7 linked regions of the Macaca fascicularis genome follow. The protein of the gene in region 7 purifies or fractionates together with the protein of the main gene of each other region. This does not show direct contact. Links are inferred from orthologs where the notes say so. Each region holds a gene or a part of one and is shown on either strand. Other genes may lie near its edges. The genes, in order: UPF0488 protein C8orf33, DDX50, TRIM71, CDC5L, SSB, DKC1 and LIN28A.

Region 1 (4,019 bases), on a different chromosome or scaffold from region 7:
CTCTAACCAATTAGCATAAAACACCTTGCTCAGGCCATAGGTAGACCCAATCATTTTGTGCCTTAAGCTTTGTTTAAATTTCACGCCATAAGCTGTGTTTAAACTTGTGTTTGCCTATATAAACAACCTGTAACAAGCAGTCGGGGTCCCAGGGCCAACTTAGAGCTTGGGACCCTAGCGCGCTAGTAATAAATAACTCTCTGCTGTGAATCTCGTGTCGGTAATCCTTCGCGGCAACCCCTGCCCAGGAGGGAATCGACAGTTCGGTTCCAACATGCCGAGGCTCAATCCAGGTCTCAGGCCAGAACTGTTAGGGCAAGAAGCTCCTTCCTCCTGAGAAGACAGCCATGCCTGGTGGCTGCCATGCTGGTTCCCTGAGGATGACACCTGCTCAGGAATGAAGGCAACATGGACAAAGGATCGAGGCAAGGGACTGGACCCAGGGAACCAGACCCCTGCCGTCTTCTGTACTTCCTCTAACACAGGTGGTCAGCACACTCTTTCACTCGTTATCCAATTTTATCAAAAATAAAGACTAGGGCAATGTGACATAACAGCATTAAGCACTAAACCATTTGACAGGAATTCCTTTCAAAAGTGAAAAACAGTGTATAATTATATAGCTTCTCCACTAATCTTTGTTACCAACAGCCACTTAATCTAATCCTAAAGACTGAGTACAATATTCTTTCTACAATACTTCAAACAGTCACTTCAATTTATTGTATATTTTCTAAATGCACCTCTCTCTGTTCTGAAAGAGAGAACATTTCATCACAAAACAAATGGGGTCTTTTGCCTATCTGATGGTCTCACACCTTCACAACAGCTCTAAATACTTGGACCAGCCAGGGACAGACCAACCCCAGGGTTCTCTGCCAACAGAAGTCCTGAAAAGGCTCTGCACTCAAAACAAACCCCTACACCACCCCAAGGGAGGGGGAATGTTCCAGGTCGGGGGAGAAGCTAAAAGAAATTGAACCGAAACTCTTCATCAGGAGTGTCCAGAGTGGCTTTGCTTCGCCCTATAGGGCGAGGCCTGCAGACCCTTCGGCTCTTCTTTCTGGTGGCTCCATCTACAGGCTGCACCTGGGCTAAATAAGCAGCTGTCAGGGGAGAGAAGCAGCGTATGTGAGAACTGAATAACAACAGCTAACATTACCTGTACAGTTATGTTTGCCCATACAATTCTAACCACTTTGAATAAATTAACTAATTCCTCAAATTTGTAAGGTTGATATTACTATCACCGCCCATTTAGAGAGGTTCAGTAGTTTGCAAAAGGTGTTAGTACTACTATGTGGTAGATCCAGGATTTGAACCTAGCTCATCTGGCTCCAGGAATTGCACTCAAACTGTTATGGGATATGGCTTCGTTGCCAGTAGAGAGAGCCAAGACACAAAAACATAACGCAGCTTTCCCCAAGCCAGGAGCAGGACCAACACAGGGTCACACTCTTTCCCGCTCCTCCCATGACCTCCCCGCTGCTTCCCAGGTTCAGTCCTGGGAAAAGGAGAGACAGGTCCATCCTTGCTCTTTCCCTGTTCCCTCAGGCTTCCCTGAGCTCATCTCCTTCCCCCACCAGCCTTGTTGCTCTGGGCCTTCTTCCTTTCACCCCCTAGGCACTTCCTCCTTAAATTAGGCCTTCCTAAATCAACCAGTTACTAGCTCCTCACCAGATCTGAGAGCCCGCAGGGCCTCACGCCATTCGGCTTCCATCTGAGCCCTATAGTCTCCAAACAAGGAGTGCATCAACTGCCTCTTCCGGGGCAGGGGCGTTCTTTTGCTGCGCAGGGTTCGGATTGCTCCAATAGCCTGCTCTTCTGCGAATAAAAACAAAGGACTAGTGAAAACCTCTACTACTGACCTCCTACCGCCCCACCGCAAAGGAAACAACTTCACCTCTGCCAGCACCTGCAGGCCAGGCGGTGCCACTCTTCACATTCCCCAACTCTATAGAAAGGTCCCTTACTCTGTTTTGGGGTGGGTTTCTGCCTCTTGAGGCCAAGCTCCAGTTGTTCCACACACCAAGCCAATTCCTGGGCCAACTGCTGCGCCTGTGACGGATTTGGGGAAGTGGCTGTGAGAGGGCACTGGGACACAAAACAGCGCCTGGCCCCATCCCATCCCCCTCCCCGCCTTAACTCTGCGGACCCCAGATCACATGTGCCCGTGGATTCGCACTAGGGGATTCCACCCTTCCTGACTGACGCCCGCCCTTGCCTGGGCCTCAGCGCTTAGGGGCACTTCTTCTGGGGCGGGTTTCTCTGAGGCCTTCTCGCCTCCATTTGCCACAGAGGCCCTGTTCCGGGTTTTCTTCTTATTCTTTTGTTTTTTCGACGCTGCACTGCCTTCATCGCCTAACGGGTGCGCTCTGGGGTCGGCGTTACTGCTCGTGGGTTGCCCTGGGCAGAGACAGACAGTGGAGGGATTCCGGACGCTGGAAACCAGGCCGGGAAGCCGGTGTCTGCGGGACGCGCAGGGAGTACCCGGGCCTGGGGCCGCCGCTGCCTCCCCGGCAAGATGTCCTAGGGCCTGGAGAAAGGGGGGCAGCACGAGGGTCACGGAGGGCCACCGACAGTGCGACGCCCAGCCACCCGCGCGTCTTCTCCACACCGCTCACCGCCATGCTCCGCAGTCGCCACCGGAACTACGCGAGGCGGAGTCCGACGTCGAATTCCGTCCTCCAAGAGGGCGCCTGCGACTCTAGGTTCCGCAGGGTCGCGGGCGGGGCGGGGCGGGGCGGGGCGCGGGGGCCCTGAGGGGAAGGGGCGAGGCTGGGGCGGGATGAAGCTGGGGCGCGGCGAAGGTGGGACGGGGCTGGGACCTGGCTCAGGCGAAGCTGGGACGGGGCTGGGGCGGGGCTAGGCGAGGCGGGGCGGGGGCGGGAAGGGGACGGGCGGGGAGAGGAGAGGAGGGGCTGGGCGAGGCTGGGGCGGGATGAAGCCCAGGCGAAGCTGAGACAGGGTCGGGGCGGGGCTGGGGCGGGGGCTGGGGCGAGGGCAGGGCGGGGCTGGGGCGAGGGCAGGGTGGGGCGAGGCCGGGGTCGGGGGTGCCTGGGGGATCCGGAAAGAGGCTGCAGGGCGGTCTCGCAAGTGCTCCCGGGCACCGACTATGTGCCCGGCACCTTTCCGGATAAAAGTTCAAAGCTCTACACAAGGGTGTGTCTTCTCAAGGCTCACCTTTTGGTGGGGAGGGAAAAGCAAGTAAACAGAACTTGAGCAGCTGTGGCGCAGGAGGGTGGTCGGCAAAGACCCCTGGGAAATGGGGAAGAGGCGCAGGCCTGGGACCCGGCGCAGCCCGCGGCGCTCGCTCCGAGAGGATCAGGGCACCGTCGGTTGAGAGGCCGGCGACGCGGGACGTGGGGGCTCGGGTGAGGTCTGTGAGTTGGGAGGTTTACTTCCGTTCTAACGCAGTGGGAAGTTGCTGCAAGATGTAAATCTGAAGAGTGGCATAATCGTAGACGTGTGTTCTGCGGTTCTCTCTGCTCCTGTGCAACGAGTAGGGCACATGGGGTGGAGGGATGTGGAGGGATTTCAGAAGCAGACGCGGGAAGAGCCTTGGACAGGATATGGGCGTGAGGGAGGGTGGCGGTATGGGGGAGAGGGAGAGGCCAATCCACCTCTCTTCTCCCGGATGCTTCCCTCCCACTATACCTTGCTGGAGACCTGGGGTCACACACAACACTCGACCCCCGCCGATGGAGGCCTGACAACTGAGAGGAATTGCGTAGGGGCTGAGGTGAGACTGAGTGAGGCTTCAGGAGCGGGCTAGGCCAGGAGGGTGGGTTGTGTTGCTTGAGAAGGTGAGAGTTCGACTTGTCTGATGATTCCTGTCGGGGACACAGGAGTGGAAAGTGGTGTTTCCTGAGACCGTGGGATGGGAAGTGTTAGCTGCCTGGTCTGCAAGGTCTGGAAGGGTAAAAGTTTGGTCATCGCTGGTAGTTATTTACTGCAGTGTGGCAGATTACCCCCAAAATTCAGCAGATTGGCCGGGCGCGGTGGCTCACGCCTGTAAT
Region 2 (4,047 bases), on a different chromosome or scaffold from region 7:
TGTGATCGTGGCTCTCTGCAACCTCTGCCTCCTGGATTCAAGCGATTCTCCTGTCTTAGCATCCCGAGTAGATGGGATTAACAGGCGCCTGCCACCATGCCTGGCTAATTTTTTTTTTTTTTTTGAGACAGAGTCTTGCTCTGTTGCCCAGGATGGACTGCAATGGTGGGATCTTGGCTCACTGCAACCGCTGACTCCCGGGTTCAAGCAATTCTTATACCTCAGCCTCCCGAGTAGCTGGGATTACAGGCACACACCACCACACCCAGTTAATTTTGGGGTTTTTTTTTTTTTTTTGAGATGGAGTCTGGCTGTGTCACCCAGGCTGGAGTCCAGTGGCGCGATTTCGACTCACTGCAACCTCAGCCTCCCAGGTTCATGTGATTCTCTTGCCTCAGCCTCCTGAGTAGCTGGGATTACAGGCGCCTGCCACCACGCCCGGCTAATTTTTGTATTTTTAGTAGAGACGGGGTGTCACCATGTTGCTCAGGCTGGTCTCAAACTCCTGACCTCAGGTGATCCACCTGCCGCAGTCTCCCAAAATGCTGGGATTACAGACGTGAGCCATTGCACCTGGTCTTTTTTTGTATTTTTAGTAGAGATGGGGTTTCACCATGCTGGCCAGGATGGTCTCGATCTCCTGACCTCATGATCCACCCACCTCAACCTCCCAAAGTGCTGAGATTACAGGACAGAGCCACCACGTCCGGCCTAATTTTTACATTTTTAGTAGAGACAGGGTTTCACTGTGTTGGCCAGGCTGGTCTTGAACTCCTGACCTCAGGTGATCCGCCTGCCTCAGCCTCCCAAAGTGCTGGGATTACAGGCATGAGCCACCGCGCCTGGTTAATTTTTTCATTTTTTGTAGAGACAGGGTTTCTACAAAACTCTACCTAAAACTCCTAGGCTCACGCAATCCTCCCATCTTAGTGTTCCAAAGTGCTAGGATTACAGGCATAAGCCACTGCGGCTAGCCACCAGACCAGTATTCTAATGCTCCATTTCTTTTAGCTGGTATTCCAATCCATTTCCAAATCTCTGGTTATATTTCATAGTTAAAGGGCTGTCAACACGTATTTCTGGAGAATTTACAATGTGAAAGCCACCAATTTACAACAATATAGTGAAACATAAGGATGGAAAACGATTTGGTCATTTTCCTCAAGAACTTTTCGGAAATATGTGGCATAATATAGGAAAAATGAACTAATTTTACATAGAAATGCATAATAAATATCAATCAAATGATAAAGATAGCCACTGAAACTAGGTAACTGTAAACTAGGGTTGTTAGGAAAGACATAAACTAGGCCTTGACGGGTGGACAGGATTTGGATGCAAAACATAAGAATTTCAAAAGAAGCCTTTTTAAAAATACCTGCTTGGTTTTCTGCTTACACTCTAGGTACCTTCAGTAGTCAAATTCACAGAGCGAAAGTAGAATGGTGGTTGCCGGGAGTGGAAGGAGAGAGGAATGAGAAGTGAGTGTTTAATGGGCACAGAGTTTCAGTCTGGGACAATGAAAAGTTCTGGAGATGGATGGCGGTGACAGCTGCAAAACGATGTAAATATACTTAATGTCACAGAGCTATATACCTAAAAATGGTTAAAATGATAAATGTTACGTATATTTTAGCACAATAAAGAAAAGTGTTAGCTGGAATGGCAAGTTTACCTTAGTGATAAGGTCAGAGAGGTAGATTCTGCTTTCTAAGGCTATACAAGTAAGTCTCATTCTTTGGTTGAATGTCAGCCTCCGAATACTGCCACCTTAGCCTCTTCAGCTGATTTCTTTTTTCCAGGTCAAGTGTCTCCAGTAATAATTTTACCTGGGCATTTTTCAGCACCTTGTGATCCTCTGAGTGTTTCAGGATGTTTTTTCCTTTTCCTATTTTTTTTTTTTTTTGGAGGCCATGGGGGTGGGAGGAGGAAAGACTACAACTCCTCTACAGGCTCCTTGAGAGCAGGGACTATTTCTTTACTTATTTAGTTTAACCTCCTTGGTGCTCAGCAAAGAGTATGGTACAAATTAGGTTCAATAAACACCTGCGGATTGAATGAAAATACTGACCGTAAAAGCTATTAATAATGCAACCCACACGATCTCCATCACTGACAAATCCTGGCAAGGCTCACCGTCACACTTTTCCTTAAGCCTCTATAGTTATGGAGGTTTGTAAACCTAAGATCGCTTTCCCCAGGATTCTTGCACAGGGGACAGAGTGACAGAAGCAACACATATTCAAAGCAATCATTTTTTCTTAATTATCTTCTAAGAGGGCCAATGAGAACGAAATGACAGGCGTCACTGCTTATGGAGAGAAAGAACAGATTCCACGGTGATGCGAGCTTGAGTCTGCCCATCTCTGAGATTCAGGCGCCAACGGGAACGGCTGAGGGGCCACGCGGGGGTGAGGCCCAAAGCCCAGGGCCATCTTTATCCAGGTCGGGAGTATGGAGGTGGAAATGGTCCCTGAGCGACCTCAGAGGGCCGAGGGCGGCGCGAAGAGAGGCCCTCAGATGCTCCGGCCCGGTTCTGACAGGCCATCATCAGGGACAGACAGTTCCCCTCCCCGCCCAAGCCGGCGCAGCCCAAAAGGAGGCGCGGCCCATGCTCAGCGCACCTTTTGCCTCTCCTTCTTCTGGCTCTCGGACTCCTCCAAGGGTGCTTCCAGCTCCATAATGTCCCCCCACAGGAGTTTCCCAGGCATTACTGGCCACCGCCGCCTCCCTCGGGGCACAGTGGCCACTACCACCTACGGGCAGCGACAGCGTGAAAGGAAGCGGGGGCAGGGCGGCCGCCCGGCCTTGGCCGTGCGTCACTTCCGGGACACGCACCGCGCGGCGGGGAAAAATAATCCCGGATACTCTCAGTTTAAGTCCTTCCATTGCGCCGCAACTTCTGAACCAATGAGTGTGAGAGATCTCAACTGGCCCACCCTTATTGTGAAGTGATTGGCTACTAGAGTAAAGCCCTGGCCAATCTCCATAAGGAAAGCACGCACTGGTTAGCATAAATAATTCGGTTTATCTTCCCCTCCCCCACTCCGAACTGGTCTCCACGGCCCCGCATAGTTTTTTGGGGGCTTCCCAGTGTTCACTGCTGGGGCTGGGAAGGGGGCTTCCCAGTGTTCACTGCTGGGGCTGGGAAGCCCTTCGACGTGGGTAGACACTGTCCGGCGCGCGGTGGGCGGGTGCGTGGGCAGGTCTGCGCTGAGGCCAGTGGGCACCGCCACGCGCCGCCTCGCTATTTGCCGCCGGAAGCTGAAGCCCTCCGCCCCGCCCATTGCGGGGGAGATGTTAACGACCAACGGCTTAGCGCGAGGCCACGGGCCTGGCGACGGTGGAGACTGGGTTTTCGAAGTTTGCGGTGGGCCAGATGGGTCGGAGGTATAGCCGGGAACGGACAGATGTCTGTCCCTGAAGTCTTAGGTTTTAATCGTGAAGTTGGTCACTGGTTCATTGTGATCCTTCTCACGCTGTCCATTTGACCTAAGAAGAAACCCGAGATAGGAATGTATTTGTCTGAAGTCCCACAGCCTGTTAGTGGCACAGTCAGGACCAGGGACTTCAGCTCCTGAAGCCGAGATCAGTGCTTTCTCTGCCACATCAACCTGAAAACTTTGTTTTGCAGTGTTTTGGGGAAGATGCTCCCATGAAACTACAGGAAAAACCCGAAGAAGCCTCACATTTTCTGCTAGCCGAAAGAGCCAAAATGTCTTCCACAGAGTATCTATTTGCAGTAAAAAATGATTTAATTTTAGCGATGGGGATTAACTGCCCGTGAATCACCTTACACAAAACTGAAACCTTTGACAATACAAATGGTAACTTCCTTAGTGTGTTTGTATACCTTTGCTTACTATCACCGAGGCTAGCTAGTTGCCTTTTCACAGTCATTTCTTCATCTCTTCATGATCCTTTCAACCCAGCTACTCAACCCAATGGAGACACAGGGCTACTCATAAACCTCTTGATAACGTCTAGCACACCGCCTTAAAACCTAAGCATCAAACTGTGTCCTAGCAAAATTACAAATTGTTAGGT
Region 3 (3,500 bases), on a different chromosome or scaffold from region 7:
ACTAAATGGAAAATGCAATGCAAAATCCAGCGATGCCTTGCAGAACAGTGTAGGGCACAGTAGTTAGCAAAGGTCACTTGCAGAAACTGAGGCCCATGCCCACCATCATCATATTGTTTGGAGATGGAAACAGGCACGCTCCACAAGGATACTCTTTTAAGTCAGCTCTAGCCTTTTTCATGTGTTCAGAGAATGTAATTATAGCTAAAGAACTGGCATGGAGTACTGGCCCTTTCATAGACATAACTCTCCTCCTTTCTGAGCGGGGACATAAAATCAGAAAAGGAACAGTTGGAATGCTGGCCTGGGTGGGGCGAGTAGTCCTTCCAGCTGATTTTTATCTAAACCGCACACTGGTGTGCTCGGCACTCCTTCCTGCTCCAACAGGAAGAAAGGGCACACACTCACTGCCTCCGAAGAGGAAAACTGGTTTTCCACAAGAGATCAGGAAGTGCAACCAGCCAGGTCACCGAAAATAGGGATGCTTCCTACCAGCCTGCCTTTCTGAACAACAGTTTTGACTATGCTCCCTTCTTTAGCCTCCCTTTGAGTGAATGCAATATAAAACTGGAGACCGCTTCACCGCTTCCAGTCTTGGCTACCCATGTACTTCTGAAAACCCTTCTTGTTTTACCGCACACAGCACCCACAATGTTCCAGGGACCCCCTGCATCTTTCTGCCAACAGACTTTCTGGAAAATTACCAAATGTTTTACACTTAAGAGCTTGGCTCCTGGATCTGAAAAGAGTCCTGTAGAGCGCTGCTGGGGTTCATGGAAGCCAAGTGGGCACAGCGTGGGTGGGGGAGTGCTCCGTTACCTTCCACAGCAGCTCGCACTCACGCTCCTCCAGGGCCTTCTTATGCCTCGCAGTCACCGCTTTGACCTCCGACTGCACAACCTTCGCCTTCATCTCCACCTGTTCTGCCACCGTCTGGGCCTGCTCGATGCTCAGCTGCAAAAACAAACAAAAAAAAAACAACTTCGAGGCATTAGAAGGACTGTCATTCCTTATACAAAACATTTGAATCTGCTCTGCCAGACTTGAAAAGCTGACACCCCGGGCTCCCAGACCACTTGATTCACTCCCTTGGAAGGAAAACAGGCACTTAGGGAGAGACTGGCATCTCTCTGACATGTAACTAAAGGAGTTGCTGGCAAGAGCTGGATTTCTTTGCATGAGAAATGGCACCTACACAGTGAATGTCAGAACTATTAAGAGATACTCTAACACAGTGAAACCAGTGTAGCTGGGTGACAGCCGAAAATGGGGAAGGAGGATCAGATGTAAAATGTGCAACTCCAGCCACACAAGTGGCTTCCCCAGACTTCCCTGCCTCACTCTCTTGCCTGGGCAAAACCCCATAGGCCAGGCCCATCCCTCACGTGAGGGTGTGCGATAGACTAGTGGCTAATCCATCCTGTTTTTGTCAAGGTACTGGCAACACAGCTCATCTCAGCCAGAACGAACGCCAAGTGCACACTGGGAATATCCCCCGATCTACCTAAGAAGCTGTGCCCCGTGGTCAGAGACCATCTACACGTCACCATACACGTCACCCTGTACCAGCCCTAGTAAATCAGCCAGTTTAATCAGACGTATTATTGTTCATAAAAAATTAATCCAGACAGAAGGCATGGTGTTTTCATTAATATTACATGCTGTGTCTTGAAAAGCCACAAGGATTTCTTTGAGATACCGAGGTATTAAATCAGGGATTCCAAAGTGATTGCTCTTGGTGCAACAGGTTTCAGGGCAGGTGATCCAATCAGGAGCGTGTCAGGGAAGCACAACGGGTTTGGAGCCTGGCATGGGCTTAGGAATCAGAGTGACCAGTCACCCAGTTTGCTCTGGACTGAGGGGTTTCTAGGATATGGACCTTTCAGTGCTAAAACTGGGACAGTCCTAGGCAAACCAGGCTAGTCAGTCATCCCTGGAGTCAGGTAACCCAGGTTCCAATCCTGGGTTAGTTTAGGGCCTCTTACTAGTTGTAAGGCCTCGGACAAGCTCCTGGTCTTCTCCAACCTTGGTAAAGGGGAGATGTGAGGGAAATGCAGAGCAATGCATGGGTTGAGCTGAGCTCAGCACCTGGCACAGAGTAAAACACTGTTATTAGTAGTTCTCATCTGATAAACACCTGGGACAAAAGTTCAGCCATTGTGTCTCGTCAGGCCACTTAGCTCCTATCATAAGATTTACCATGAGTCACATTTAGTATGTGCAGTGTTGTGTAATCATCACCAGTACCTAGCTTCAGAACATTTTCATCACCCAAAAAGCAAAGGCCATAACCATTAAGGAGTCATTTCCACTTCCCTCCTTCTCCACCATGGCGATCACTAATCTACTGTGTCTCTACAAATCTGTTCTGAGCATTTCTCCCTCCCTCCCCCCACCCCTTCCTTCCTTTCTTTTTTTAATAGAGATGGGGGAATCTTGTCATGTTGCCTGGGCTGGTCTCAAACTCATGGGCTCAAGTGATCTGCCCACCTAGGCCTCCCAATGTGCTGGCATTACAGGCATGAGCCACTGCGCCTGGCCTGTTCTGGGTATTTCATATAGATGGCATCATCATACAATACACAATCTACCTTATTTTTATGAGTATTCTTCCTGCCCAACAGTTTGACTCAGTCTGGATGAGAGCTGACACATTCATGGCATGCAAGACACGCTCAAAGGTACAGCCCCAAAAACACTCATGGTGGCTGGGCACAGTGGCTGACGCCTGTAATCCCAGCACTTTGGGAGGGCGAGGCAGGCGAATCACTTGAGCTCGGGAGTTTGAGACCAGCCTAGCCAACATGGTGAAACCTGGTCTCTATTTAAAACAAAACAAAACAAAACAAAACAAAACAAAACAAAAAGCACACCACCCATGACTCCAATGGTTAGCGGCCACACTGCATTCCCTGCCTAAGAGGATCCTGTGTGTCCTAAGGATCCACTGAACTGATTCACAGGGGAACTGGGTAGATCCAGAGGGCTCACAGGCTGTCCCCAGCCTGGAATGCTTCACCCTAAATTTCCAAACCCAGTTCCGATGCCACTTCCCTTCTGAAGCTGGAAGGGAACAGCATATTTCTATAACCTTTCTGCTCCACCTTTACAATCCTGTCTCAAGTACCATTACATATCAATCAGAGGAGGAGCTAAGTACAAAGCCCATGATACTTATGACACCTGGGATTTAGCAGAACAATTAGCAGAACAGTCTATAAATTTTATATTTGCCCATCTCTAGCCATAATCGTGTTTACCAAAGCACTAGGTAGCTGCGTCAGGGTAAACACTGTCCCTCCAAACTCTGGGCTCAACTAAATGGGGGCCAGGATGTGACCTTGTGTGGAAATACGGTCTTTGTAGATATAATTAGCTAAGATGAGGTTATAGTAGATTAAGTTGAATCTTAAATCCCAAAACTGATATCCAGAGAGGGTCATGTGCAGACCCAGATACACAGAGAACAAAGCCATGTGAAGACCAAAGCTGAAATGGAA
Region 4 (3,500 bases), on a different chromosome or scaffold from region 7:
ATACTTTCCCTGTACATATTTAGTATCTCCTCCCCACTAATGTCACCTCCATGACAGCAAGAACTCGGTCTTAATAACTGCTTATCTCCAACACTTAAGTAAGTGTCTGACACATAAGAATCACCAAATAAACATTTGGATTTTAATTGTCTGTTATTCTCAAAAGACTATAAGCTCTACTAAACAAGAACTAGGCCTATTTTGTTCATTGTTCTCTCTCTAAAACTCTGGCACAGGGTATACATTCAATATCTGATGAATGAATGAATGAATGAATCCCTTCCCTTCCTATAGTTCCTAGTATTCTAAGACTGGGCAAATGTTTTTGGTCATCTCAAAACATTGCTGGCCTATAATGAGCTCATAGCCAACTGATACTGTACACTAAATTAATTTATATGAATTATTATAAAATTAAATCTCTCCACCTCTATCCATTCCCCACATTCTACACTGATGTAACTGACTTCTTACGCTAAACATAGAGCTTTAAGTTTGATGGCCTTCTTGAAATTAACTTTTAAAATGCCTTTGTCAAAAAATACTTACAAGAAAATAATGGGTCAAGGAAAATTAAATATTTTAAGCCCTGACCCATAAATTATTTAAGTAGCTGGAGGAGAAGAAACCTTCTTTAAAGTGATATTTTAAAAAAATTTGAGGTACTAAAAAGTTAATCTAACTCATCAGTGTACACAGAAATGACCATTCTTTGCTGAAACTAACAAAGCCACAAAGAACTGCCTCTTAAGTGTTTAAGATACTGCATCACCATTTTGATTACCCAAGAGTTACTCATTAAATATGACACAGAGTACATAGCTGCTGGTTTGCGGGCACTCTTAAGTATCTAATTACTTAAAACAAAAGGCTACATTCTCAATTTTTTATATTTTGTTTTTATTTAAGAGTTACTCACAGGCAGCACTTTAAAATTAGGCTTTTTAAATTAAAGGCCAAAACTAAAAAAGTTTGCAAATATGACATTGCTAAAAGAATGACAGCCTTAATAATTTAAACTCTAAAATGTCCGTCCTGTGGAGTTAAGGTCTTTATACACAGAATGTGTAAGATCGATATCATTTAAAATAAACAACCAAAAAACCACAGATGGTGGGTAAATTTGTCAATGAAGATAAACATCAGTTTCAGCCTTCTAGAGTATGAAAACCGGCAATTAATCCTGTGACAGAATATAAACTGTACTTCAGAACTTTGACTTTAAAGTCTCTTTCTCCAGCAGCAAATCAGCGTATCTATGTTGAAGTTCCTTTTCTCTTTCTTGTTGTCGCTGAACATCTTCTTTTAGACACTTAAAGAAACAAAAATATTAAGTAATTCTTTTAGATGTAACTATATTGAAAAAAATCTACAGTACTTTACTATCTTAAAAACCAGCCGAGTTAAATCATGATTCTTAAGAGGTAAAAATTTCTCAAAGAGAAACAAACATATCAAATACTTTTGCTATAAAACCAGTATCACAGCCATTCTTTGATTTGGTCATATGAAATCCTGCTGCTACTTCAAATAAACAAACCACTACTGTCTTATCAGTACCCACAAATGCACTTCAAGAAGCCCTGGCTGCCCTTTAGCTGGACAGGAGCTATTATGCACATTTGGGAGATAAATTGAATCCAAATCCGGTCAAAGGAATTTGATGGTTTGGAAGGACTAGCTATGTTCCCAGCCACCTAAGTTATAAAACAGAAAGATATTGGTTTAGTTTCCCCTCACAGAGCTACACGAATGGGATGTGATCAAGTTTCAAGGGGACAAATTACAAGGGCTAAGTATTCCATTTCACAGTGTATCTACGTATGAAACAGAACATGAGTAAAGGAAGGCCTTTGTATCTACAACTTGCCTAGTCTATCCATCTACACAGAGGCAATTCTAGATTAAAGTCAAACACTTTAGGCTCTCATTTTTAAAAGCCTGACAGTACCAACTTCAGAGACAGCCTACATAGGAGAAGTAAAAGAGGACAGCCCTGATAATTCTTTGCAGCACTCTTTTAAAGCAACGCTTCAATATATAACGTTACCTCTAGCCTCCGGGGAATAGCAGAATCTTCATGTTTCTTGAGTTCTTCAAAAGTGCGTAACTCCAAGTGAGCCTGTTCAATTTGGTCCCATAAGTCATTCAACTGTTTCATGAGCCCCATAGCACGAGACTGGTAACCCCCAAGCAAAATTTTCATCTTCTTTTCCATCTTTGCAGCTCTCTTGGCTTCTGTCGTCATGTGACCCCTGTTTATCTGGAGAGCAGGGGAAGATCACATCAGCATACATGAGAAAAGTAGGCTATTAAATAAAGGGCTAAAAAGGTGCCATTCGTTCATGCATGTGCCTCAAAGCAAAAATACACTAGAACTCCTTATAGCTCAACTACTGTAAAAAAAAAAAAAAAAAAAAAAAAATCAAGCTTAAGAAGGATTTATCTTGCACCTAAAGGGTTTTATAGGTGAGTACCAAATAATCTATAATCTATTTATAATAATTTGACCCATGACTGAACCTCAAAGCGGGCTTGAATGTCACAGTAGGGGAAAAACTAATGCCTACTTTCTGAAAATGACTTCTGCTATCATTCAACATATTTATTTTGGGACTAGCTACAAGCCATCTTCATCATCTATATCCCAAAAATGTACTTCTGGGAGTCTGTTCACACATCAAGACCCCAACTTTTACAGTTTCCATCCCAGGGCCTGCATCCTAAATCTCCTGGCTCTGGGAGCTGAGGGATCTAGTGCAAGTCTTCCTAGATCACTACATCCCTAGAACAAAGAGATACTTTTAATCAAGCATGCAAGTACTTTCACAGACTGCACCCGTTGGGGGCAGTGCAGAGAAGGAGCCAAAAACATGAAGCTCCACATTTCTCCCTGGAAGGGGCTCATGGCACAGTCTTCCAGTGGCTACTTGACAGCCTGGCTTTTAACGTGCATGGGGAGTTAATGGGACAGTGGAGTGCAAAAGTAGCCTTCTGGCAGCCTAAGCAGCAGCTGGACACTTTCCAAGCCTTTCCCCCTAGTCTGCCCCAGCAGTAACTCTAGGCCTACCAATTCCTCCTAGAAGGAGTTTATCCACACATCAAATGCCTCAATTTGCACAGCATCTACCCAAAGGACTATATCCTAAATCTCCTAGATCTGGTAATGGAAGAGACTAAGCATATGCATGTCTCTCTAGATCAGAAAACAAGGAGGTGGTTTTAAACAGGTGTGCAAATACTTTCTAGGGCTACACTCTCTGGGAGCAGTGAAGAAAAGAGTCTGGAACATGCAGCTCTCATTTTCTCTCCAGAAAGGGTTTATAACCACATACTCTTCCAGTGGCTACTTGACAGCCTGGCCTCTAACTTGCATCAGAGAGCTAATGCGGGAGATAAACAGTACCCCTCAGGCAGCCTGAGCAGGAACTTGGCATATCCTGAGCCTTTCCCCCAGCACATCCCACTGATAATTCCAGGCCTACTCATTCTTCCTAAAA
Region 5 (3,930 bases), on a different chromosome or scaffold from region 7:
AGGGTGGTAAATGCTTGGAAATATAATTTTATCCTTAGGTGGCTTTTGTTTTACAGAGCTTCGATATGACCTGCCAGCATCATACAAGTTTCATAAAAAGAAATCAGTAAGTCTCTTGATTTTGGCTGGTCTACATTCGGTATTGAAAAGTTTTCTGGGCCGGACGTGGTGGCTCATGCCTGTAATCCCAGCTACTCGGGAGGCTGAGGCAAGAGAATCGCTTGAACTCAGGAGGCGGAGGTTGCAGTGAGCTGAGATTGCCCCACTACACTTCAGCCTGTGCAACAGAGTGAGAGTCAGTCTCAAAAAAGAAAAAGAAAAAAAAAAGAAAAGCTTTATGACAAGTAATTATTTCTAGTGTTATCAACTTTCCTGTGTAAATATAGAAAGACAGCCTAGGAGACACCATAAATGGCCTGTGGGAAGGGCCCATGGTCAACAGCTAATATTCTAGTTCTTTATTAAATGCTCTGGGTACAAAAAGAAAAAAAAAAAAACTGTTTTTGCTCTTTTCATATAGCATATATTTTATTAGTTTGTACTAATACATTCTCATATTACAAAGGCAATTTAATGGAAGAATCTTCCTTTTGATATTTGAACATCTGAAATAACACAAACAGAACTATACATTCAAAGAAATCTCATTTGCATAACAAAAAGACAAGTTAAACAACAACAAAAAATTTTTCCTTTCTCACAGGTGGACATTGAAGTGGACCTAATTCGGTTTTCCTTTTAAAAGCCCCCGCAAACAAAAGTAGTTTAAAACCTATTTAAAATGAATTAAAAAATTGGTTTACTAAACTACTGGTCTCCAGCACCATTTTCTGTTTTCTGTTGTTTGGATGCAGGTTCTTCTTTGTCTGTTTCTTCTCTTGCTCTTTTCACAGGTCCTATAACGTAACAATTAATTTTTGTTAAATTCAACGTAAGTACTGCTCTATTTTAATACTGAGTACAATTACTAATAATGATACTGTTGAAAAAGATGCAACAACTTCCTTGCACCAATGAGAAAAGGCTTTTCTCTTAGTACAGACCTGACCTCTAGATTCATCTTCCAAATATCCTGTCCCTGACTTATACAACAGCATAACCAAGGTAAATCATAATAATCCAAGAATGGCACTTATCCAGAAGTTGAAAAGCCAAATCCCTATTCTCTGGCAAATCATTTATTTATGGAAGTACAAATTTTCTCATGAAACTACCAAAGGACTTAGGAAAAAACTTACCAGTTGCACCATTTTCATCATGTTCATCATCACTAGCAAATTTCGTTTTCTTGCCCTGAAACTGTACTTTTCCTTTACCAGACCCAGGCTGGGCAGCTTTATTACCCTTTCCTTTTCCTTTAAATCTACGACCTGTAGAGACACAATTGAGCACTCTGTAAAGAATTTTTTTTTAAGTCTCTTGTCAATGTTTTTGAACACTGATTAAAGTTTTTGCTCAAGTAAATGGGTTCAACAACCAAACTGTTAAAGAAAAATCAGAATAAATGACCTTTTGACTTCCATTTGTTTAGGGATTCCTGTTGGTCTTCTATTATTTTTTTCAGTGCTTCTTTTTCCACCTCTCCTTCTAGTACTTCCCAAGTCACTTCTTTGTTCCTTAATTGTAGGTTACCATTATTTGCATCTTTGGCTTTACCCAAAGCTTCCTTGGCTTTTTCTTTAAATAGAATTATCCCCTATATCAGAGACAGAAAACAAAAGCCATACCCTTAGTTTTTTAGTCCCACAATTAATTTCTTTGTTCAAAGTAATTTTTTCTACCCTGCAAACCTTCCATGCCTTTACCAGTTTCAATGAACTTTACTGAACAGTAGAAAAGGAATGCTACAGAAGTAAAACTGCAATAATCAATATGAACAGTTATTCATAGTATAATTCAGAAACTATCAGACATCACATATAGTGACAATAACAACAAAGTAAATGATCAAGTAGAAACTAGTATAATTCAGAAAATATCAGACATCACATCTAGTGACAATAACAACAAATGATCAAGTAGAAACTAATAAACACAATTTTAAAAATTGCTTTCTACTAATTTTGTCTAAGTTTCTACAGATTTTCAAACTGACTGCTAAAAAGCATAGGAATGTTTCCAAACCTCTTTTGCTCCTCTGACGAAGTCTATCCATTTTATTTCACCATGATTTGAGAAAAGTATGTGTAAATCTTCTCTACAGGTCTGATCATCTAAATCACCTGAAAATTTCAGCAAGCATCCAATCTTTTCTTCTAGAGATTTCTATAAAAATATACAAAGCGATCAAAAAGTTTCTTAAAAGCAACAGACCATAAATGACTCACACCACATTATAGCTATACAAGAAAGAGCCTAGAAACCAAAATGCTATTTTAAAGTAGTTTCTCTTGCCTAGGCAGCAAGAGCGAAACTCCATCTCAAAAAAATAATAGTAATAAATAAATAAAGCAGTTTCATAGTGTTGGTGTTTTCCTTTGTCATCCTTTATCCCAAAATGGCTTTCAATATTATTTGATCTCTTATACAACTGGCATTTAGTTATAAACTACATAAAATCTGGTTATTAAACTATCTTGGAAAATAATTCCAGGCAGTATTTATCATACTTTAAAAATTTTTTAGGCCAGTTGCAGTGGCTCATGCCTGTAATCCTAGCACTTTGGGAGGCCGAGGTAGGCGGATCACAAGGTCAGGAGATGGAGACCATCCTGGCTAACATGGTGAAACCCCGTCTCTACTAAAAAAAAATATACAAAAAATTAGCTGGGCATAGTGGCGGGTGCCTGTAGTCGCAGCTACTCAGGAGTCTGAGGCAGGAGAATGGGGTGAACCCAGGAGACGGAGCTTGCAGTGAGCCCAGATCGCGCCACTACACTCCAGCCTGGGCGACAAAGCAAGACGTCTCAAAAAAAGAAAAAAAAAATTTTTTTTTAAAGAGTCATTATTATTTTCCCCAAATAAAAAATTTTACCTGTAACTTTCTAAATGGAAATACACATCACTATCTTATTAAGTCAAAAATAGCTGGGCACGGTGGCTCAAGCCTGTAATCCCAGCACTTTGGGAGGCCACGACGGGCGGATCACGAGGTCAGGAGATCGAGACCATCCTGGCTAACACGGTGAAACCCCGTCTCTACTAAAAAATACAAAAAATTAGCCGGGCGAGGTGGCGGGCGCCTGTAGTCCCAGCTACTTGGGAGGCCGAGGCAGGAGAAGGGCGTGAACCCGGGAGGCGGAGCTTGCAGTGAGCTGAGATCTGGCCACTGCACTCCAGCCTGGGCAACAGAGCGAGACTCTGTCTCAAAAAAAAAAAAAAAAAGTATTAATCTATGATTAGAATCTTTAGAAGTTATAGGAGGACATTTTCTCATAAACATAAGTTCTAGGCATAAATGAACTTTTTCTGAATATTTCAAAATATATTTTCCTGTGTTTTATTATATTCTTTATTTTTAGACAGGGTCTCACTCTGTCACCCAGGCTGGAGTGCAGTGGCATGATCTTGGTTCACTGCAACCTCCACTTCCTGGGTTCAAGTGATTCTCCTGCCTCAGCCTCCCGAGTAGCTGGCATTACAGGCATACACCACCACGCCTGGCTAATTTTTGTATTTTTAGTAGAGGCGGGATTTCACCATATTGGCCAGGCTGGTCTCGAACTCCCAACCTCAGGTGATCCACCCACCTTGGCCTCCTAAAGTGCTGGGAATACAGGCGTGGGCCACTGCACCCGGCCTTTTCGTATTTTAGAACATATTTCCTATCCTTAGTGTTCTCTTTTCCCTCAATATAATACCTGTGCAATGACAACTATAGATAGCTTTGCTTACATATTTTCTTGAAAAAGTCCTCAGACTTAAAAGCTATTCATTTAACTATGAATTACAGATATACTAGATAGCAGTAATATATACTTACCATTTCAG
Region 6 (3,500 bases), on a different chromosome or scaffold from region 7:
TAAATACTGAAAGATGGCACCATAATAGTTGAAAAAACTCAGTCACAAAACAGTGGACAACATAAATGTGATAACCTCTCCTTATCAAACCATTGGCTTCTGGGTGAATGTAAAGGGAGGGTCAAATGTGATCAGCAAAAGAGATCTAGGTGAGTGGAGATGGCATGAGGCAGATGGGTGCCTTGGGCACCATTGAACTTCTGGAGAGGAAGCCTTAAGTTGTACCTATTGATCTATAAATTCTGCACCAAGACTTTTGTGTGATTGGTTCAACAGGCCTCAGTAATCTTGTTTTCAAGTTCTTTAGGAGCCTGTTATTGCCTGGATCTCTAGTAAATCTATTCTTTCTCCTGATAAGGAGGAGAGAGGAGCAGTTAAGGAATGCCAAGGCTATTTTTATGTTTAAAATGAAAATACCGACCAGGTGCAGTGACTCACACTTGTAATCCCAGCACTTTGGGAGGCCAGGCCAGGCAAATTGCTTGAGCTCAGGAGTTTGAGACCAGCCTGGGCAATATGGTGAAACCCTGTCTCTATTAAAAATACAAAAATTAGCTGGGCGTGGTGGCGCATGCCTGTAATCCCAGCTACTTGGGAGGCTGAGGCACGAGAATCACTTGAACTCTGTAGGTGGAGGTTGCAGTGAGCTGAGAACGGGCCACTGCACTCCACCCTGGACGACAGAGGGAGGTTCTGCCGGAAAACAAAAAATAAAAAAATAAAATGAAAATACCTGTGAGTCTCTAGAACCTGAAAACCTGAAAGTCTTCTTTACGACTTTTAAGTCGTGTGTGTAAAGTGCAGAGAGTGGTGCCTAGCACAGTGAGGTGGCTGTTGCTCTTCTGAGTCCCTTCATGCCCCTTGCAGCTAGTGGGCTATCAGTGCCATCCCTGTTTCATGGTGTCAGACCCCACCCCCTTGTTGTCTTCCTTTACTCTGGTGTGGGAGTGGGTTGGAAGGCAGCAGCTGGGCCCCTCACACATGGTGCCATCTCTGCAGGTAAATGCTATCTGCTATGGGGCCAAGATCATGCTTCCAGGTGTTCTTCGATATGAGGATGGCATTGAGGTCAATCAGGAGATTGTGGTTATCACCACCAAAGGAGAGGCAATCTGCATGGGTAAGAGGGGATGTTTATTTTTTAAATTGTAAATGTTTGTGGTTACATAGTAGGTGTATATATTTATGGGGTTCATGAGATGTTTTGACACAGGCATGCAATACATAATAATCACATCGTGGAGAATGGGGCGTCCATCTTAAGCATTTCTCCTTTGTGTTACTAACAATCCTATTTTACTGTTAGTTATTTATCTATCACCTTAGTTATTTTAAAATATACACTTAAGCTATTGATTATAGTCACCCTGTGACTATAATCTATCAAATAGTAGGCTATCAAATAGTAGGTCTTACTCGTCTTGTTCATTCATTTGATTTTTTTGTTTTTGTTGTTGGTGTTTCGTTTTTGTTTTTGCTTTTTAAGAAGACAAGAGTCTTGCTCTTTCGCCCAGACTGGAGTGCAGTGACGTGACTTTGGCTCGCTGCAACCTCTGCTTCCCAGGTTCAAGCAATTCTCGTGACTCAGCCTTCCGAGTAGCTAGGATTACAGGTGCACACCATGACACTTGGCTAATTTTTTGTATTTTTAGTAGAAATGGGGTTTTGCCATGTTGGTCAGGCTGGTCTTGAACTCCTGACCTCAGGTGATCTGCCTTTATTTTTTTTTTTGTACCCATTAACCATCCCTACCTCCCTGCCAGCCTCCAACTACCCTCCCAGTCTCTGGTAACCGTTCTTTTACTCTTCTCTGTCCACGAGTTCAATTGTTTCGATTCTTAGCTCCCACAAATAAGTGAGAACATGCAATGTTTGTCTTTCTATGCCTGACTGATTACACTTAACATGATCTTCAGTTCCATCCATGTTGTTGGAAATGACAGGATCTCATTTTTTTTTAAGGCTGAATAGTATTCCATCGTGTATATGTACCACATTTTCTTTATCCATTTATCTGTTGATGGGCACCTCGGTTGCTTCCAAATCTTGGCTATTGTGATCTCTTTGATAACACTAATTTCCTTTATTTGGGGTATATACCCAGCAGTGGGATTGCTGGATCCTATGATAGCTCAGTTTAGTTTTTTGAGGAACCTCCTAACTGTTCTCCATAGTGGTTGTATCAATTTACCTTCCCACCAACAATGTACAAAGGTTCCCTTTTCTCCACATCCTTTCCAGCATTTGTCATTGTCTGTCTTTTGGATATAAACCATTTTAACTGGAGTGAAATGATGTTTCATTGTAGTTTTGATTTGCATTTCTCTGGTGATCAGCGTTGAGCACCTTTTCATATGCCTGTTTGCCATTTATTTATCTTCTTTTGAGAAGTGTCTATTCAAATATTTTGCCTGTTTTTTGATTGGATTATTAGATTTTTTTCCTATAGCGCCGAGTTCGTTATATATTCTGGTTATAAATCCCTTGTCAGATGGGTAGTTTGCGGATATTTTGTCCCGTTCTTATGCATATGGATATCTAGTTTTCCCAGCACCATTTATTGAAGAGACTGGTTTTTACCCAGTGTATGTTGTTGGTACCTTTGTCAAAAATGAGTTCAATGTGGCTGTGTGGATTTGTTTCTGGGTTCCCTATTCTGTTCCATTGGTTTATGTGCCTGTTTTTATGCCAGTACCATACTATTGTGGTTACTGTAGCTCTATAGTATAATGTGAAGTGAGGTAATGTGATTCCTCTAGGTTTGTTCTTTTTGCTTAGGATCACTTTGGCTAGTTTGAGTCTTTTGTGGTTCCATGTAAAGTACCAGTGTTTTTTAACTCGTGAAAGCTTAGCTACTGTTGGATTGTCTCTTAAGACTTTAAATGCTCTGCACCCTCTTAGCGAATGAACCTTAGAGCTATTCATTTAATGGGTCCAATATGTACCAGAAGTAAGCATGTCATCAGGATTCCTTAGCTCTGTGAGCAGGCAGGCCAGCCATGGCCTATGGACAGCAGCAGAAAAGGAATCCTTAAAACTTCAAAGGTTCTGTGGCCGCAAAGGGAGTGTGCATGCCATTCCTATAGATGTCTTGAGCTGCAAGCCTGTTATGTGTATCGTTAGGTGCTTTGGTTAGGTGTTTTTTAACTTGAGAAGTTTAACATCATTTCAGAAGCCTCCTTCTCATAATGGGGGATTTCTTCCATATGCATATCCTGAGCAAAGGAAACCCCAATTAAAGTAGTAGAGCTCAGAGTTTTGAAAGTGGCATACAACAGTAGAGTTGGGGCTCATCAATTATCAATTCTTTCCCCCTTCAAATAATTCTTTTCTTTATTCAATGCCTGTAGCTATTGCGTTAATGACCACAGCGGTCATCTCTACCTGCGATCATGGTATAGTAGCAAAGATCAAGAGAGTGATCATGGAGAGAGACACTTACCCTCGGAAGTGGGGTTTAGGTCCAAAGGTAAGTGGTACTGGGTTGCGTGCTCTGCCAG
Region 7 (3,500 bases):
CTGGAGATGTAAAACACGTCCTGTGCCCTAGGATTAGACAACCCTCACCTAATCTTGGCTTGCTCTCTGGGCCTTTCACTTGGCCCAGCCTCTGCTAGCCTCTGTACCACCATTTCCTGTTTAGACTAATTCCCAATCTTCCAGTAGGAGGCAATCAAGTCATGGGGCAACCCAGTTAAAACCTAGTCTCCCATAAAACATTTTCAAGGCAGAGGGGGTTTCAAGAGGACACTATGGCAGAAAAGCCAGCTCTTATTGGCAAAAATGAGGTAGTTCAATAGGCTGTGCACTCCAAATAGTTGCTCTCCATGGTGGCAAAAACAACAAAAAGTATTCCTGCTGCGCAGACCTGGAGCTGCTGCCGGCTTATCCCTGAGATTGCTCATGTACCTGAGAACACAGTGCAGGAAATGAGGGCCTTAGATTAAAATATACAAAAATACAAAACCAGAATATTTATATTAAGGGAAAAAAAGGTTAAAATGCACAAGATACGTCATTCGCACACAGCTAGTGCAGTTGGCATCCTGGAGAAAGTGGGATCCAAGGTGCAGTATCCAAGGGAGCAAATAAATAAAATCACATTGGCTCAGAATGGGGCAGGAGTGAGCACAGGAGCAGCAGGTCTGCAGCTGTTCCCCCAAACACCCTTTTTGCCATCATCATTACCCATTGCTTGGGACAGTTGCCAGCACCCTATCCCAAAAGTGGGTATGAGGATACAAGATGTGAAAAAAAAAAAAAACACTGCTTACTCCTGAGAGATTCCCTTCCACAGAATGTAGTGGCTTGTCTCCATGAATCTGGTCTTATACTTAATCATTTCACTCTGGCATGGGAATTATTATATATCCTTCTTTAAAAGGAAAACAACTTCCCTATCCAGGCCACTTTCAAAAGCTGGAAATTCTGGGAATGGAGCCTCAGATAAAGTATGCAGGTTGCAGGGTGATTCCCCCATCCTGGTTGCCCCCAGAACCCTCACTTGCATTTGGACAGAGCGTGATTGGAGTTCCTTTGACTCACCCTTTCCCCCCACCTAGAGGAAAGAAAGGGTGATGGTGTGAATCCCAGCCTGAGATACATGGCAGTGCCAACTAGCCCCAATGCACCCTATTCCCACTTTCTCCACTCTGCCTGCTCCTCAAAACTTCCTGATAGCAAAAGAATAGCCCCCACCCATTGTGGCTCAATTCTGCGCCTCCGGGAGCAGGGCAGGGCTGTGAATTTCTTCTTCTTCCTCCCGAAAGTAGGTTGGCTTTCCCTGTGCACTAGGGCCCTGCTGGGCCTTCAGCGGACATGAGGCTACCATATGGCTGATGCTCTGGCAGAAGTGGCACTTCTTGGGCTGGGGTGGCAGCTTGCATTCCTTGGCATGATGGTCTAGACCTCCACAGTTGTAGCACCTAGTACAAATCAAGATGGTAAAAGTAAGAGAAAGGAGCAAGAAGAGGCCAGATGATTCCCATGAATGAGGACACCTTGGCTGTGGTACAGGTTTGTCACTTACTTCCCTTCCCAGAGACCAAACTTCCCACTTACAAAAGGAGGACTATTACTAAATGATCTCTTAAGTCCTTTCCACATCTAATTGTCTAGGTGATCTCTTCAGATTCATGTCAACTTGAAAATACCAAGACACCAGAAATAGAAGTTACTGACCCCAACTGGGAACTGCAACTTGGAGGATAGGAGAGATTCTTCCATACCCTTAATATAAGAGAAATTAAAGAAGCCAAATTATAGTATCTGTTCAGAGCTAAGGGGCTTTAAGACCAAACAAGATGGCCGGGCGCAGTGGCTCAAGCCTGTAATCCCAGCACTTTGGGAGGCCGAGACGGGCGGATCACGAGGTCAGGAGATCGAGACCATCCTGGCTAACACGGTGAAACCCCGTCTCTACTAAAAAATACAAAAAACTAGCCGGGCGAGGTGGTGGGCGCCTGTAGTCCCAGCTACTTGGGAGGCTGAGGCAGGAGAATGGCGTAAACCTGGGAGGCGGAGCTTGCAGTGAGCTGAGATCCGGCCACTGCACTTCAGCCCGGGCGACAGAGCGAGACTCCGTCTCAAAAAAAAAAAAAAAGACCAAACAAGATTAAGGAAACCCGCCATTTGCAGACCTGGTAAAGCAACAACAGATACAGATAATACTATCTTGTCGCATCATTTGCAAATCCATGATTTCCTTTAATTCTAAAACCATCCTAGGATGTTAGTATCACTGGCCTCACTTAACAATTGAGGCTAGAGCCCACAGAGCAAACTTACTTGTCCCAAGTAGAAGCACTAAGTCACCCCCAGTGCCCTCCTCACCTACTGCCCTTGCCCACACCTATTGCAGGCACTCAGCCTTCCAGATGCTGCCAGGGACCACAGGCTTCCCTTCGTGTTTTGCTGTGTGACCCAAAACTGACAGGATTGGGAGACTGGGGATGCTCCAGCAACCTAAAAGCTGCCTTCCAGTCCATACCTGTCTCCTTTTGATCTGCGCTTCTGCATGTTCTTCCCTTTTGGCCGCCTCTCACTCCCAATACAGAACACCCCACCAGGTCCGGTGACACGGATGGATTCCAGACCCTTGGCTGACTTCTTAAAGGTGAACTCCACTGCCTCACCCTCCTTCAAGCTCCGGAACCCCTCCATGTGCAGTTTACTCTGGTGAAGGGAAATAACATTAGTTTCCATTATTACACCGAAAGACCAGGAGCACTTATTCCTGTAGGGCAGGAATCAAATGTGATGGTACTCCTATTTTACTGGTAAGGAAACTGACTCAGAGTCACTACAATTACGAACAACAAAAGTCTACCAGTACATTAACAAAAATCATAATTATATAAGCAGATGCCATGATATTTTATAGCTATTAAATTAAGAATTTAAAGTTCTTTTTTTTTTTTTTTTTTTTTTTTTTTTTTGAGACGGAGTCTCGCTCTGTCGCCCAGGCTGGAGTGCAGTGGCCAGATCTCAGCTCACTGCAAGCTCCGCCTCCCGGGTTCCCGCCATTCTCCTGCCTCAGCCTCCCGAGTAGCTGGGACCACAGGCGCCGCCACCTCGCCCGGCTAATTTTTTGTGTTTTTAGTAGAGACGGGGTTTCGCCGTGTTAGCCAGGATGGTCTCGATCTCCTGACCTTATGATCCTCCCATCTCGGCCTTCCAAAGTGCTGGGATTACAGGCTTGAGCCACCGCGCCCGGCCTAAAGTTCTTAATAAAATAGAACAGAGGGCCTGGCACGGTGGCTCACACCTATAATCCCAGCACTTTGCGAGGCCGAGACGGGTGGATCACCTGAGGTCAGGAGTTCGAGACCAGCTTGGCCAACATGGTGAAACACCATCTCTACTAAAAATAAAAAAAATTAGCCAGGCATGGTGGTAGGCACCTGTAATCCCAGCTACTTGGGAGGCTGAGGCAGGAGAATTGCTTGAACCCAGAAAGCGGAGGTTGCAGTGAGCCAAGATCATGCTACTGCATTCCAGCCTGGGCAACAGAGTGAGAC

What was found.
Region 1: the proteins of LIN28A (region 7) and UPF0488 protein C8orf33 purify together in Homo sapiens (co-immunoprecipitation; 3 studies listed by BioGRID and IntAct, with this or other methods). This does not show direct contact. The link is inferred for Macaca fascicularis from reciprocal best matches to the Homo sapiens genes LIN28A and C8orf33.
Region 2: the proteins of LIN28A (region 7) and DDX50 purify together in Homo sapiens (affinity purification with mass spectrometry; 3 studies listed by BioGRID and IntAct, with this or other methods). This does not show direct contact. The link is inferred for Macaca fascicularis from reciprocal best matches to the Homo sapiens genes LIN28A and DDX50.
Region 3: the proteins of LIN28A (region 7) and TRIM71 purify together in Homo sapiens (affinity purification with mass spectrometry; 3 studies listed by BioGRID and IntAct, with this or other methods). This does not show direct contact. The link is inferred for Macaca fascicularis from reciprocal best matches to the Homo sapiens genes LIN28A and TRIM71.
Region 4: the proteins of LIN28A (region 7) and CDC5L purify together in Homo sapiens (affinity purification with mass spectrometry; 3 studies listed by BioGRID and IntAct, with this or other methods). This does not show direct contact. The link is inferred for Macaca fascicularis from reciprocal best matches to the Homo sapiens genes LIN28A and CDC5L.
Region 5: the proteins of LIN28A (region 7) and SSB purify together in Homo sapiens (affinity purification with mass spectrometry; 3 studies listed by BioGRID and IntAct, with this or other methods). This does not show direct contact. The link is inferred for Macaca fascicularis from reciprocal best matches to the Homo sapiens genes LIN28A and SSB.
Region 6: the proteins of LIN28A (region 7) and DKC1 purify together in Homo sapiens (affinity purification with mass spectrometry; 3 studies listed by BioGRID and IntAct, with this or other methods). This does not show direct contact. The link is inferred for Macaca fascicularis from reciprocal best matches to the Homo sapiens genes LIN28A and DKC1.

What each region holds. Positions count from the first base shown.
Region 1 is NC_088382.1:154,739,079-154,743,097, reverse strand, and holds UPF0488 protein C8orf33, read right to left. Parts: upstream 2,654-4,019; 5' UTR 2,631-2,653; coding exon 2,625-2,630; intron 2,537-2,624; coding exon 2,225-2,536; intron 2,059-2,224; coding exon 1,974-2,058; exon of another isoform or gene 1,904-1,973; intron 1,825-1,903; coding exon 1,678-1,824; intron 1,107-1,677; coding exon 967-1,106; 3' UTR 501-966; downstream 1-500.
Region 2 is NC_088383.1:77,534,481-77,538,527, forward strand, and holds the start of DDX50 (ATP-dependent RNA helicase DDX50), read right to left. Parts: upstream 2,801-4,047; 5' UTR 2,712-2,800; coding exon 2,625-2,711; exon of another isoform or gene 1,676-2,624; intron 1,553-1,675; exon of another isoform or gene 1,379-1,552; intron 1-1,378. UniProt on the Homo sapiens protein: ATP-dependent RNA helicase that may play a role in various aspects of RNA metabolism including pre-mRNA splicing or ribosomal RNA production.
Region 3 is NC_088376.1:15,515,452-15,518,951, forward strand, and holds part of TRIM71 (E3 ubiquitin-protein ligase TRIM71), read right to left. Parts: intron 955-3,500; coding exon 820-954; intron 1-819.
Region 4 is NC_088378.1:127,068,972-127,072,471, forward strand, and holds part of CDC5L (cell division cycle 5-like protein), read right to left. Parts: intron 2,264-3,500; coding exon 2,051-2,263; intron 1,313-2,050; coding exon 1,208-1,312; 3' UTR 1-1,207.
Region 5 is NC_088386.1:65,359,470-65,363,399, reverse strand, and holds the end of SSB (lupus La protein), read right to left. Parts: coding exon 3,923-3,930; intron 2,266-3,922; coding exon 2,125-2,265; intron 1,697-2,124; coding exon 1,510-1,696; intron 1,371-1,509; coding exon 1,239-1,370; intron 897-1,238; coding exon 808-896; 3' UTR 743-807; coding exon of another isoform or gene 704-742; 3' UTR 501-703; downstream 1-500. Other genes in the region: rRNA N(6)-adenosine-methyltransferase METTL5, read left to right, coding at 39-106, 704-742. UniProt on the Homo sapiens protein: Binds to the 3' poly(U) terminus of nascent RNA polymerase III transcripts, protecting them from exonuclease digestion and facilitating their folding and maturation.
Region 6 is NC_088395.1:160,880,829-160,884,328, forward strand, and holds part of DKC1 (H/ACA ribonucleoprotein complex subunit DKC1), read left to right. Parts: intron 1-999; coding exon 1,000-1,120; intron 1,121-3,350; coding exon 3,351-3,469; intron 3,470-3,500.
Region 7 is NC_088375.1:208,705,608-208,709,107, forward strand, and holds part of LIN28A (protein lin-28 homolog A), read right to left. Parts: intron 2,656-3,500; coding exon 2,471-2,655; intron 1,407-2,470; coding exon 1,190-1,406; 3' UTR 1-1,189. UniProt on the Homo sapiens protein: RNA-binding protein that inhibits processing of pre-let-7 miRNAs and regulates translation of mRNAs that control developmental timing, pluripotency and metabolism.